Linked DNA regions of Drosophila melanogaster. Changing the gene in region 2 together with the main gene of any one other region gives a genetic interaction. Each region holds a gene or a part of one and is shown on either strand. Other genes may lie near its edges.

Region 1 (5,320 bases), on a different chromosome or scaffold from region 2:
GGCTTCATTTGCTATGTCTCATTCTCGTTCTCATATTCTGGCGCCATCTGTTTGATTATGGAAATCGATTAGCCAAGTCCATCTAATGAACTAGACCAGAGCACAGGACACGGATCAGAAAACATGTCGCGACCGAAAACTTCATGAGGGAAAACTCCTGCACGCAGGTAGGGCCAAAAAAAAAAAAAAATAGTAAGAACATAAAGGGAACTGGGACGGGGACAAACAATGGAGAGATAACCCAAAGATAGACAGAAAGTGGAAAATTAATGAGATTTTTCGTTTGTGCAGCTGATGAAGGCATTAGGGTGAAAGCAAGTGCAACGACTTCATTTCCCTCCACCGAGAGAATGTCGCAGTGGGGAACTTATGGTTATTCCTCCCTTCACGATTTTATGGTCAGCTGAAGCAATAAAATTGAAATTAATTAATTGAATGCAAGGCAATAAGCCCTGTGACTGGTCAGGCAGTTCTATCTCAGTTCAATCTGATTGGAGAGTAAAAAACCTCACACGTTGAAATCACACGAAAAGAAATGAGTTGTTAAAAAAAAACAGGTGATAACAATACGGTAAGTATGATATTACGCTATATAATATAAACTTGTACTATATTAAAACGTGTTTATATTAGTCATTATAGTCATCATATAAGAATGTAGTATGTAATTACATATCACTTTAATAACAGATCTTATAGATACAATCTTCAGATCTTCAGTCTTGTTTTTTTTTTGCGTGTATTTGTCTCCCATTTACGTCACGGATCTGGTTTGACTTTGGGTTAAACCGCCCGCTGATCTGAGATCGGGAGAGTAAGACATATGGTGGTTCGATCGTAACGCTCTTTTCAGCTTAGGAGGCTGACTCATCACGCTGAGCGGACCACAAGTCATAGAAACGCTGAAAGCCGACGTGCTAATTATCAACACAAGTCGCCAATAACTAAGAGTGAAATAGCAGAAAGCTAAAAAACACTTGGCAGATGTAAAAACCAAAGCGGAGTCAGCTTTGAATATTGTTTTTCTGCCTTTTCGCTTATCAACCGAGTGGACAAACGCCCTCAATAATGAGAGGGGGAAAAATAAAGCTAACAACTAAAAAAGCGAGTACAATGAATCTTAAATGAGTCTCTCATTGTGCAGAAATATTTATAACAAACGTGTTTGTATGACAATTCATTTTGGGCAACTTTTACCGCCTGCAGTTGGACTAGTGGCGGTTTGGCCATAACAATAACGGAGCCACAATTACAGCTACTTTCTAACGTGGCCAAGACGAAAGACCCAAGCGGAGCATCTTGAACGTTTGCAGTTTGCCGTTTTCCACTTCATTTTTTTCGTTCACTTCTTTTTTTTTTGGCAGAAGTTAAGTAGACTGTTAAATGACTTCCGCAGTTTTACCTTCACAGACGAAGACTAGCATTTTTTTTTTTCAGTTTGCCGCCATTGTTATAGCCGCTTTGAAAGCTTCTTTGCCTTTGATGTGGGCCAAAGAAGAAAAATCTTAACCTAAATCCAGAGTACAGTTATTCGGAAAACCCTCAGGCGAAAGAAGCTCAATGGCAGGATGTTAACTATCGGAAAAAAATACAATCAAAATTTATATATATTGTATAATTATTGTTAAAACAGCATTGTTCTTGAATTCAAGACCTGCTGCTTCTGAGCGATAATCGTTGAACTTTTGGGGTTGAATCTTGGGGTTTTCCGAATTTTTCATATAAATGTAGCTAGTGGTCAAGGGCTATCAACTAAGAAGAGATTTATGGTGTTGGAAAACCCAAGAAGAATCGAAATGAATTAAAAACAAAAGTCTAAGTTTATCATAAGGTCATACGATTTTTACCATAATTGGTACAAGCGAGAAGATTCTTGTCCCTTCCTTCTTCTCTTATTTTGTTTTGCTGTTTCTAATCAGCAACTTATTAGCTTTTAAAGCACAAGTGGGCATTTTCTGGTTTGTTAGAAGTACTTTTGAAACCTGCATTACCCAGGTATTTCCACCTTCAATACGAATAAAAGTCCCCGCAATGAAAACCTGTTGAACGAAGCTCTCTTTGGTAGTAAATAAACTTTTGTTGTGTCTGTTTGTTTTTTCGATTCCAAACTGGTTTTTGGCCAAAAATTCAAAGTGTTAATATGCTGGCTCGTGAGCTTTGGGCCAAATGCGTGTGGCTTTGTTTTCTTTTTTGTTTCGTTCATGGGTTGGCCAAAACGCAAAGCACACCCCAAGGCCGAAGAGCACTTGCTGCTGCACTGCAGCATTTTGCACATTTCCCTGGAAAGTGCCGAGAAAAACCACGGAAATTGTGGACAACAAGAGTGTGACACACACAAGCACTGGGGAAAATTGTGCAACGGTTACAACTGCTGAAACTGTTATTCATCGCCAATTTGCACAGGAAAAAATACGGTTTTACGCAGAGTACTAGTAGTAGTAGTAGTAGTAGTAGTAGTATTAATAGATCAATTTAAAGATGTTTACAAATATTTTACAGCTCATTTTATGTACTTTAAATTGATTTTATCTGACTGTGATCAAAACTGGAACAAAATGTCAACCAATTGCCCGATGAGCCATCAATTTGGTAAATTTTTTTCTGTGCAATTATAGGCGAATTGGACTGATCAGAGAGTGGGACAGAGATAGCTGAGCTTAGCGCGAGCCAAGCGAAGCTTAGCACAAAGCAAAATCGAATGGGAGATAACGAGACAGAGCGAGATGGCACGGTTCAAAGTGTAATAACTGAACAAGGAGACGTAAATACTTACCGTTTTAATACGTGTTTTATTAAATGTGAGGTTAGCTACTCCGCTGCGATCTCTTGTGCAAATATTAATATTTATTTGGCTTTTCTTAAGCTGCCACGAACAAACACGCACTGGCACTGTTGTTTAGCTTCTCTGTTCGCGCTTGTTCGCACTTTGAAGCCGCGATTTTTTGCGATTTTATTTTTGGTTAAATGCTTGCTACACTTTCACACATTTGCATTTAATTGCGCCTTGTGTTTCTTGTTTTTATGGATTTTGTGCTGCGTAGCGTTGCTCTTAACTTGGCTTATTCGGTTGCCAAATCGCTGGCCACAAAACGAGACAAACAAAAGCGGCCCACAACACACGAACGCGGGACTCTGGCTGGGAAAATCAAAAATCCAACTGCTACAAGCGCGACAAGCGTGCGTTCACGTCGGCGATTCGGAACAAACTGAACTCGACTCGAAAAGAAAGAAGAACTGAGAGATGAAGAGCTGGTAGTGCGCTTAGTGTGGAGGGAAAGACGAGAGAGTGGCTGAGTCGGCGGCAAGATACCCTTTGCTCAATATAGAAAACATTATTTACTTAAATTTGTAATCAGCCTATTAATATATTTTATTTTAAATTTTAATAATTTTGTCACAGTCTTTATATGTTTTATATCATTTTGTTTGCTTTTGGTTCCTTAAGCTCCAGTTTGTTAAGACATTTTAAATTATTATTATATTTTTTATATTCTACTTTTAATAACATCCTATCTTGCTACTTTTTTAACCTTAAATAACGTGTGAAGTTATTTCTATAAAGCTGTTTGGGTTTTATATATAATCAGCTTATTATAAATAAATATGAGTTGGATAAAAATGCTAGTCTCGAAATTTTTTTATATTTTTGACGTACTGATAAGAATTTTTAGAACAACAGTTCTTGTAGCAATAACACAATGTGATAATATGAGGAATCGAGCTTTCAGTTGATTTATGTTAGTTGACTAGGATTTTTATAAAAAATAAAATTCTTTCCCTAACTTCTGAGTGGCAAACGATATAATAAGTCGAGCAATTTCTTCTACCCCACAAATACCGTTCGAAGGTACAGATGCGTGGGAGAAAAAGAGAGAGACACACGAATTATCTTCGTGTCTGTGGTCGTTGCACTATAAACAAATCGCATGCGATAAAAGTCATGCGAGAGAGGAAAACAGTTGAAATACAGGTACTTCGTATAAGAGTATAAGAGAAAGTGGTAGAGCAAGAGAGCCTTCTACTGTTTTGTTTTCATTTTTGGGGGAAAAGCCGGCAGTTGTTGTTGGCCAGTAGTTCTCAGTTCTTGTTAGCCAAGTTTAACCGGTTAACTTCAAAGTCTAAGCATCTCAGGCAGCATACGTAATAACAGTGATTATGGATTTATTAGTTGATTAGTCTCTCTCTCTGAGTAAAATGTAAAATGTAATTGCCAGCACGTAGCAGACTGCTTGCTGTTGTTGTTGTGTGCCAATTAAAACCACACTTCCACAACATCTACCCTCTCGCTCTGCCGCTTGCGACTCAAATGAAGTGGAAGTGCGTTCTGCTAATGCGGAACAAGGATGGGACATAGCTCCCGGGGGAGCAGCGTGTGAAGTGCGACAGGGACGGGGAATGGGAAATGCAAATGGAAATCGTATCCCTCTGCAACTGTGTTTTCTGTAATTATGCACGGCGTATGGAAAATTAGGACATGCTTATGAATAATCTTTGAATTCATGTACAATTTTCATAGCAATCTTGTGTTGATTCCATTTCCCAATTGGTAATTATCTAAAGTCTTTGAAATTTAAATAAATTTGTTGAAATATTACAACAACAATTTTAATGTTTACTACTAGGCTTACACCACAATTTTCAAGGATTTAAGATGTTTTCTTTCCAAGCAAATAACTTTACGTCAAATCAAACAAAGCAACGCAAATCTGGATAAGCTTAATAGGCAACATAATGGCTACTTCTCCCCGCAAAGATGCATTAATATACACATTTGCCACACTGCCCGTGTTTTTCATTTCAAATACCTAGGATTTACTGTAAATTTCAAAGATATTACCGAAATATGCGCATGTAATTCTGACCGAAAGGAAATTCCAGTAATTTCCCATTCAATGTACCCACATGGGAAAACCCAGCGCACAGGACACACATCGGGAGATTTATTCCTCATTTGCCTTGTTTTATGTTAGCTGCAAAATTTCACTTTGAATTGTGCCGAAAATTTAATTTGATTTCATTTTCATCAGTGGAGAAGCACATAAATAGTGCAACAAATGAAATTTGTACGTGCCACAGATGCTGGAGGAACCAAAGGCAGGCCCACATGTGTTTCAGGTCCAGATTTGTGACCATTTGTGCGTGGTTGGCCACGACACGCAGAGCCATAAATTTCGGATTCTCAATAAACTAATGGCAATTGGTATCCGAAAGATACATTCTATATACATATACCCCAACATCCATATATATATCTCTTCACACACACGTACAAACTCATTCTGGCCCGTCTGCGTTATTAGTTTTTCTTTTCCTTTCGCTC
Region 2 (4,947 bases):
TTTGAATGGTCGAATGCTCGAATCGTTTGCTATTTTTATTTTGTGTGCCGTGTTACTTGAAAAATCATAATGTATAAAACTAATTAAAAGGTAATTAATTCGGTTACATCTAGGTTGGCTTCGCTCATCACCACCCATTTGCAGTCAAAAGTTAAATTGTACAGCCAATCGATTTTCATTGCCTTTCAAGCAAATCAAAGGAAACATTTTTGCAGTCAAGTAAATAATGCCCGAGCACCCCAAAAACATTCCCAGAATGCCGAGCCAGACCACATCGCACCAGACCTCATTTACCCAAGCGTTGGAGCCATTTCCATTCTAATGGCCAAGACAAATCGTTCGTACGTACATTCGCTTTCAGCCAAGAAAAACGACCGACACGCGATGGCCGAAAATTGGAGGAAACCGCAGCATTTAATTATTTTGCTATAAAACTTTTCACGATTCAATCAATTCAGATTCGGTACAACATGGCGTATGCGTAATGGGATTCAGCTATATTTTTCCCCGCATTGTTTGTAAAATTGTGTGGTGGCGTGAATTGTTTGTAGAACTTGGGCTTTGGTTGGCGATGTAAATGTGAATGACAGATCATTTTAAAGTTTAGTTGGTTTTTGTTCATGCGGAAAATGAAAAGAAATATATATAAGGTATAGTACTCAATCTCACGCCGGGTTATCAGGGAGACTAGAATATAAAGCCCCGCTGGGATTTTCTTCTTGCTGATTAAAGTTCAAGTCTTATCAGTTAATTGAAATAAGTTCAAAGCAATTGCATTTGCTCTCTTGGGTTTTCCGAAAAAGTGTACAAGTATTCAATAAACTGATCAAGCTGAATTGACTCTTGAAAACAAACATAATTAGTATAAGTTTGTTATATTATTTTACAGTAAAAATAGTTTTGAATCGATTACTGGTGGGTGAAAATACTATAGCTTACATGAAGCTTCTCATTGTGTATTCTTTAAATTTTAATTTAAATTTTAATTTAAAGAATAAGTAATTCAAAGGTTTCTGATAATTCTTAGCAACATATATTTAACCAGCTCTATCCAGAGTTCATCGTTTTGACCGTTTCTCAATTGTTTACCAATTAGACTTGCACCCTACACACAAATGTGTGTACAGGCTGTGACCTTCCTTCTCCCGCTGGCATTTAATTTACAATAACTTTCAATTCGGAAACAAGTCTGCTTAATACAATTGGCAAAGTTATAGCTAGACTGCGACTTTATACTGTATGTAAGCAATCGCACACACATGGACCAAAAGGTGTGAAAAGTGCGGACTTTGTTTGTGTTTTATTTTCTACAATTACCGAAAACAATTCCGCTGCCGTTGGCATCATCGGTTCATCGCCCAATACAAGTTAGATAGCTGCTGGCTGGGAGCAGATAAATCGATATTTGAGTAAGTTTTGACCATGACTGTTCCATTTCATTCTATTTTTATGGATTCCGAAACGGCCAAATGGCCGAATGTTTTGCGTGCGGATAAGGCAAAAGTCTTAAAGACTTTATGCCATTTCGTGTCTTTCGATTGCAGTTTCAGTTCCACGGTTCAGGTTGTATATTCCTTTGATTACAAATGAAATAAACGAAATCTTCCAGATGCCACCGCAAATTTTTATAAACTTTTGCCGTGCCGATTTCAGTTGTAAAAATATTTACATTTTGTTAATATAAATATTTGCATTTGCTTCGATTTTTTTTTTTTTGACCATTGAATTCCTCTTCTTTTTGGCTCCTCTTGAGCAGATTTTCTTTCACATTTGGAAAGTTATTTAAAGACTAACTGAGTAGCTATATTCTTCCAATTTTTTATATCAACGCCTAAATTATTTCCAATACAACAGCTTGAAATGTGAAAACGTCACAAACAGCTTTGGCACTATAATTTTGAGATAAGAGTTATAATGTTTATAATTGCATACATTATTGCTCTTGGGAGGAAATGTCTACTCTAGGGTGCAGTTCCGGCATATGTTATGTGCAAATGTACAAATCTGAACCAGTATGTTAATGATTTTTCGTAGTCGACCAATAAAACAAGAAAGAAACACTGGGACTACTAGTAAATGTCGTACTGAGTGTTATTCTCTTTTAATAAATCGCAGTCAACCGCCTTTCTTGTTTTCATTTGCATATATTATACGCCTGTTGGGTTGCAAAACTGCAGTTACACTAGCAGAAATATATATTTGCTGATAAGCAAAAACATACCATATTTTAATAAATATTTACGAAGTATTGCACAAAGTCTATATTTAATGTATTGATATAGCTATGCCTATAATCTTTCGGGTGTTTAGGTTCAAATCAAACAGGAAGTAGATTAAAGAAGTCACAAAAATATTTAAAATATTTCCCGCATGGACAAAAAAAACAAAATAAAAATAATACACTAAAAATTAAAATTTTTTGTCGTTTTTTTTTGCGATTACGCAGTCTAGTGAACCCGGCCGTATTCCCGTTTTTCACTTCACTATTAATAAATACAAATTTCATTACACGTGGCATTAGATAAGTAATTGCCCGCATCGGAAAATTGTGTACTTATTTATGTATCTGGGATTAAAATTTATGAATTCCGCCGAGTTGCTGGCACGTAGTTTTTTGCAGTGCCATTGCAATCGAACCTGACACGGGAAGCTGTCTGTACCTAAGTTTCTAAAGCCGCCTTCTGGACCGGGGACTTTACAAACTACGCCTTAAGCTAGCTAGCTGACTATAGTTTCAGAAAATTTATTATAGCTAACCTTTTATGGTGTAGTAGGTAGGCTGCTTTAAATGCTTGATTAAATTTGGATTCTCGATCCGAATGCACTGGGTCAGACAGAAATCGAATTAGCTCTTTGTTGTGTTGACACGTGTAATTGATTAAATTTGTCTTTTATGATTGACTGGTTTTCGGTTTATGTGTCGGACTTATCGCGCGCGACTCACAAAAGGCGCGCCAAAAAAATTATGAAGAAATTGAAAACAAAAACAAAAGTTGCTCCCACAAGCGACGTTGTTGCTCCGCTCATGTATTTTACTTTTGAGTTTTGTTTAATTTTTGCTATTGACACTGCAGCCGCCTGTTTAGAGCGGACATTGATTTATACACACATCTGTAGTTTACGTTGTAGTTGTCGTGCTTCGTATAATTAACCAATACACTGGCAGCTATATAGTCGCGTGCGACTTGCACAATATGCGTTATATGTACATCTATATGTATATATATATGTATGGATATCTATGTGTGAACAAGTCGGCGCTTCACGTCCGTCGGCGGCCAAGTTCAGATTGAAACTGAGCGGTTCGCTTCACACTCGGCTGCAAGAGAGCTTCGGAATGGCTTCGATAGCTCAGGCTCCATTCTCAGCTGTTCGCTCTCTGCGATCGCATGCATTCGGTTCGTATACTTGATACGTATACGTGATACGTATACGTGATAAAAAGTTACCGCTGCTGATATGATGGTTGCTGATCGCAACTGACGGAGGGTGCCAATATCTGTTTTTATTTTCGAAACTGCTTCACTTTTCCTTTATTTATTTTCATTTCCGTTGTGCGTACTCAATGTTTCGTTCTCTCTAATGTATTTGTGTTCAAGTGCGTTCCTATGACGCCATCGAGCAGAAAAAATGGTTATAGATTTTTAAGTGGATTTGGAAAAGTGTTGAGATTTTTATAACGCTCTGCAGGTGTTCCAATTTCGATTTTCGGCTATAAGTAAACATTGATTCCCTTACAAAAAAATGTGTACTTTTTGCTGGGAATGAAAATTTATTGTTATGAATGGTTTGGAAATATCATAAAAATTCAAAATACCTAAGATGTTATTTCACATGAACTCTTTTCTCATTAAAAATTCGTTTAAAATAGTGCACAGGTTTCTGGACAAATCAAGATCAAAGGTTTATTATAAGATCAGATAGGAGGAAAAGTTTTTCTTTATGTGAATCATTCGCCATTCTGGAATGAGAAGCCGAAAAAAATCGACAACTATTAGCCAGATGCATAACAATAGATCTATTTATCTAATATAGGTATGACAGCTGAATGTTTTTATTGATTTTCCCAGGAATTGACAGACCTGAAACGAGTTCGACCCTCGGCAAATGTAAATTATAAAATCCATACAACGTTGCTAATTCACGCCAACAAAATTCCCAAATGAGACCGAAAAAAGATTCGCCAACGTCTAAGGTCGAACTGAGTTATTAACTCAATTTTTGGCTTCTGTTCCATAGACAGATTTTAGTCATTGAAATAAACACAAGTGCAGACCAAACACGTAGGGGAAAAATATTTGCAGTTAACATTGCCAATCGGGTGGAAATATTTCATTATTGTTGTGCATGAATGAAAATAGTATAATTTATTTCTGCTAGCCCACGAAAATTTCGAACTAAAAACACAGTTTTCATGTAGCGTGGGCTCGTCTGCGGACAAAATGCATTTTGGGAGCAAATTTCCCGGCCGCAATTTACATCTATATAGGATTGCAACAAAGCCAAGAATACCTCAGGACGTGCAAAAATAAACTAAACTATTTCAGCTCTGGGGTTTGAGAAATTTTAAGTTAGGAAAACAGATATTTATTTATTTAGCAATTTATTGAGCAAATATGAATATTTAGATATAGATGAAAATATAGTACGACAATTTGTATAACTTTTTGAACATGTTATTATCAAATTTACAATTGTAATCCACACTTTTATTCTATTATTTTAAAATTTCTTGCTCTTTATGGCTAGGGATCACTGTAGAAGGATTTTAGTTGCGATTGTGCTTTTAGCCATACATGTATGACAAATGCCCCATGACGTAGTAGCCACTTTCAGTAAACATATCAGACGTCACAGAAATCTCCAACTCTTTATTAAGCTCCCCGAAGAAGAAGAGAAGAAAAAAAGGGGGAGAAGTCAAAGACTCTACCCCCGCCCAAACAACTC
Region 3 (4,850 bases), about 17 Mb from region 2:
GAGTTTGGTGGCGGTGCGACCCCACCACAGAGGGTGGTATATTTTTGGTATACTGCGGTGCGTCCGATAGGCCCAGACGATGACCAGCGGTACCGATAACACAGATTGTTGACGTGTGCTGCTGCGTGTCATTTCGCTTTTCACCCCCGCAAGCCGGCGATTTTCAGGAACGGATTGGATTGGACAGCACAGCATGGCGGAGGAAGTCATCGGAACCGTTAAGGAGGTGCTGAAGGGCATCATCGAGAATGTGAACGCGCCGAAGAACGAGTCGGCGCCGGGCGAGAAGAAGCCCTCGACTCCGGAGGGCATGGCGGTGGCCTACAGCAGCCTGGTGGTGATGGCCATGCTGCCCATCATCTTCGGCTCCATCCGCTCCGTGAAGCTGCACAAGCTGAAGAAGGTATGTGAAGCAGACTCAGCCCGGAAGCTGCATTAACATGTTTCCCGTAATTCCCACTCCCTGCAGTCAACGGGCGAGAAGGCGGACACGATGACCAAGAAAGACGCCATGTACTTCCCGCTGATCGCGTCGGCAGCCCTCTTCGGGCTGTACCTGTTCTTCAAGATCTTCCAGAAGGTGCACATCAACTACCTGCTCACCGGCTACTTCTTCGTGCTGGGAGTTATTGCTCTGGCGCACCTGCTCAGTCCGGTGATCAACTCGCTGATGCCCGCCGCCGTGCCGAAGGTGCCCTTCCACATCCTGTTCACTAAGGGGGAGGGCAAGCACAAGGAAGACATCGTTAACTACAAGTTCTCCACGCACGACATTGTCTGCCTGGTGATCTCCTCGGCGATCGGAGTGTGGTACCTGCTCAAGAAGCACTGGATCGCCAACAATCTGTTCGGTCTGGCCTTCGCCATCAACGGCGTGGAGATGCTGCACCTGAACAACTTCGTCACGGGCGTCATCTTGCTGAGCGGCCTGTTCTTCTACGACATCTTCTGGGTATTCGGCACCAACGTGATGGTCACCGTGGCCAAGAGCTTCGAGGCGCCCATCAAGCTAGTGTTCCCCCAGGACCTGATCGAGAACGGCCTGAACGCCTCGAACTTCGCAATGCTGGGACTAGGCGACATCGTTATTCCGGGCATCTTCATCGCTCTGCTGCTGCGCTTCGACGACAGCAAGAAGCGCAAGACGCGCATCTACTTCTACTCCACGCTGATTGCCTACTTCCTTGGCCTGCTGGCCACCATCTTCGTGATGCATGTGTTCAAGCATGCGCAGCCGGCTCTGCTCTACCTGGTGCCAGCCTGCATGGGCACGCCCCTCCTGGTGGCCCTCATCCGCGGCGAGCTGAAGGTGCTCTTTGCGTAAGTGTGGACTGCGCTGGGCGCTCGACTTGAAACTAAACTAACTCATTCTCGCCCCCACTGCAGCTATGAAGATCATCCCGAGGAGAAGCCCGAAAAGAAGGAGAAGAAGGAGAAGGACGAGGGCGTCAGCTCGTCCGGCAGCAAAAAGAAGGAGTCGAAAAAGGGCAAGTAGAGCCGGGAGGACGCAACATCCGAACAACATCCCCACTCGTTCCATCGTAAATGTCTTCTGCAGCTAGCCAAGCTCCCTTTCGTTTCGATATGGCTTCTCCATCTACCGCAGTCCATAGCTCATATGGACTAACACCGCTACAAAAGACGATTCACTTACTGAGTTAGTTATGTACGTTCCTTGGCCAGGCACAACAATCTTATTTAGTTCGGTTAGGTTACAATTGTAGAAAATGTTCCCTCGACTTTTTTACCGCAATCAATTTAAATATGTATTTCAAATATTTCTGTGGCTCCGCACAGGAGGCTTATATGTTTAAGAACAGTTTAGATACAAATATATTCCAATTTTTGTAAACAGTGCAATTTTGACTACGAATTCTACATTGCATTTCTTAAAACTAATGCAGTAATTTGTGTAAACAGTAATGCGAATAAATTTTAATTCTAACGTTTAATTAAACTAGTTTTGTATTGAGTAGAGGGTTTTTAGGAATGTAACGGCTTAAGAGAAAAACCTAATACATTTTAAGTTGAGCTTACCAAAATCCAAAGAATTTTTAAATTTAAAACATAATACAAAAGTGCTTTGAAAAAGTCAGTATTTTAATACCACTGTTTATCCACGGCCACACTAAATATCGATAACCGCATAGTGAGACCCTTTGTGTAGAAAAACTTATACCTTTAGCGAGCACAAGCGTTCATTCCTGAAAAATTGCGGTAAAAATTGCGAAAAGCGCGAGTTCCCCCCGCGATTGCAAATAATTAATTTGCTTGGAACCACTGGAGACGCAAGGACGAACAGAGAGGTAGGTGCTCTTGCACTTAGCGCGCCAAAAGGCGACAAAGCCCCTCGTAGGCCACTTACCCACACACACACATTCGCAGACAGACGCGCGTGCAAAAAAGGCCAAGTGGGACTGCTAGCGGAAATCCAGGACTCGAGGACACGTTCGGGCGGCAGTAGAGAAGCGAGCAAGCAGCGACGACCATGTCCGGCATTGCTATTACACGATTGGGGGAGGAGCGCAAGGCCTGGCGCAAGGATCACCCATTCGGGTTCGTCGCACGACCCGCCAAGAACCCTGACGGCACCCTCAACCTGATGATCTGGGAGTGCGCCATTCCCGGCAAGAAGTCCACCCCCTGGGAGGGCGGGCTCTACAAGCTGCGCATGATCTTCAAGGACGACTACCCCACCTCGCCGCCCAAGTGCAAGTTCGAACCGCCGCTGTTCCACCCGAACGTCTATCCCTCGGGCACTGTTTGCCTGTCGCTGCTGGACGAGGAGAAGGACTGGCGCCCCGCCATCACCATCAAGCAAATCCTGCTGGGCATCCAGGACCTGCTCAACGAGCCGAACATCAAGGACCCAGCCCAGGCGGAGGCCTACACCATCTACTGCCAGAACCGACTGGAGTACGAGAAGCGCGTGCGTGCCCAGGCCCGCGCCATGGCGGCCACTGAGTAGTCGGGCTCCTGCCAACCACCTTTACCACATAGACATTAACAAATACACACATCTAGCCGGTAAGCGTTTGTTTGGAATGCTCTCCACGTCTACTTACTTTTAAAGAATCGACTAATTTTGGATAGCCCCCGCGGCCCGAAGCATCTAATTTTTTAATGTTCTGCACTTGCTTAATTACCAGCATGTACCATCTGAATAAATACAAATAAGTCCTGTAATTTTTCGATGAGGCCCAAAGTGGCCACGTGGCACCCAGAATTCGACGCTCTTTTCAGCTTCCATTCTGGGTGCAGGTGCCGATTATTCTACGGGCTATTTTGTATCGCGAGTACTACGTACAAACCTATGTAATTTCAATAAAAATTTATTAGTTGTAAAAGCTTATGCATTTTAAAGCGGAAAGGATTTCCCAGCAAATGTGCAGTCGAGCACTTGTTGGTCGTCAGTAGCCGTACAGCTGGATTTAGTGCTTGAATTATTCCATATAAAGTTCTTCCTTTTGCTTATTATTTAAGTAACATGACTATTTTTAAATTTAAGCATTTTATTTAAAAACTTGTTCAGTCCATTTTTACCTTTATATTTTATTTGATTTTTAGGCATTTGAAGCTGGTCACATTTCCCAACTATTTCAGCTGATCTGGCAAGTCCGCCAACATTACTATGCATAATTTTTGGCTGATCTGGTAGCATTCGCTGCTGATATAGCAATGCTTCCAGCTAACGGTTCATTTCCAACGAGGCCGCCATATTGAAAAATGCCCAGTTAAAACACCTACTGAGATTTGTGTTCGCCTGGTACTTCAGTCTGGGGAATCCGGCATACTGACAGCTGAATTTATTATTTTTCCCGAGGATGCTCATATATTTCGAACTGAATTACCAGGGAAGCATAAGCGTGGAAAGGTGTTTTTAAAACAACCGCCAGGATTCCCAAAGTCTTGGTTTTGGTGGGCATGCTCTATTCTGAGTACCAGGCGAACAGAACTTCTAGTAGGCTACCAACGATCAGCTGATCTATCTGATGCCTGGTCTAATCTAACGGTTCTTTTATTAGGGATGCCACAATATTTTTCTATTGATCCGGTAATATGTCCGATGTTTGACAATATTTTAATCAATCTGGCAACTATGTCGTCATAACATTTTTCGCTAATCTGGCAGCACTCAAATCGTTCGTTGAATTCAAAAATGTAAAATGTCGTTTAGTTACTAATTTCACTATATTTTATATTGAATAAATTAATTACTTTTATTGTCGCACACACTTAATAAATAATGTACTCATTTAAATTACACAGTTAGAATTGCTCGCTTTATGGGGAACAGCGAGTAATTTACATTATAGTATTGGATCTACATTGGAATACTTCGCCTCCTTCTACTCCGCAGACCATTGCAAACTTGTAGTTTCTCGCCCTCAATTTAATTTCTGTCTAAGTGGTAAGCTTTGGCATGCATTATATGTCATGGTTCCCACTTAATGGGTATGCGCCTAAATTAATGTACCTAAGTATCTATGTGTTATTCCTTTAGGTGTACTGTATATGTACGGGAGTACGATGTATATATCTACTTCTATCGATCGGTAAGTCGAAGGAGTCAGTCCCCAAATGGAGTTGGAAGTGGAGGGCAGCGACGGGAGATTTTCCGGGAATACTGTCGTCGATGGTTGGTTGCGGTTTGGATAGTGTACATTTTTAAAGGAGGCTAGGATTCGATTAGTTTCGATTGGGTTGGGCTGCTGCTTAGAAGCACGTGTAATACCACTCAAGCTGCTTGCGCTGCGCCTCCCACCGCAGCTGGCTTTCTCAAATGGCCGCCTCCTGCAGGTTTTCCTTGTTCTTCTGCTGGCCGTGTCCGCCGACCAGGCCGCCAATGC

What was found. Genes that interact genetically often act in the same process or in processes that back each other up.
Region 1: of Dif (region 2) and Tl, changing one suppresses a phenotype caused by changing the other (phenotypic suppression), as found in Drosophila melanogaster (3 studies listed by BioGRID).
Region 3: of Dif (region 2) and lwr, changing one suppresses a phenotype caused by changing the other (phenotypic suppression), as found in Drosophila melanogaster (2 studies listed by BioGRID).

Annotation. Positions count from the first base shown.
Region 1 is NT_033777.3:26,796,934-26,802,253, reverse strand, and holds the start of Tl (toll), read right to left. Parts: upstream 3,214-5,320; 5' UTR 2,774-3,213; intron 1-2,773. UniProt on the Drosophila melanogaster protein: Receptor for the cleaved activated form of spz, spaetzle C-106. Binding to spaetzle C-106 activates the Toll signaling pathway and induces expression of the antifungal peptide drosomycin.
Region 2 is NT_033779.5:17,424,899-17,429,845, forward strand, and holds the start of Dif (Dorsal-related immunity factor), read right to left. Parts: upstream 3,302-4,947; 5' UTR 2,758-3,301; intron 1-2,757.
Region 3 is NT_033779.5:539,886-544,735, reverse strand, and holds lwr (lesswright), read left to right. Parts: upstream 1-2,155; 5' UTR 2,156-2,306; intron 2,307-2,356; exon of another isoform or gene 2,357-2,385; 5' UTR 2,386-2,488; coding exon 2,489-2,968; 3' UTR 2,969-3,027; exon of another isoform or gene 3,028-3,499; intron 3,500-3,567; 3' UTR 3,568-4,137; downstream 4,138-4,850. Other genes in the region: Spp (signal peptide peptidase), read left to right, coding at 194-403, 470-1,320, 1,387-1,495; ush (u-shaped), read right to left, coding at 4,780-4,850.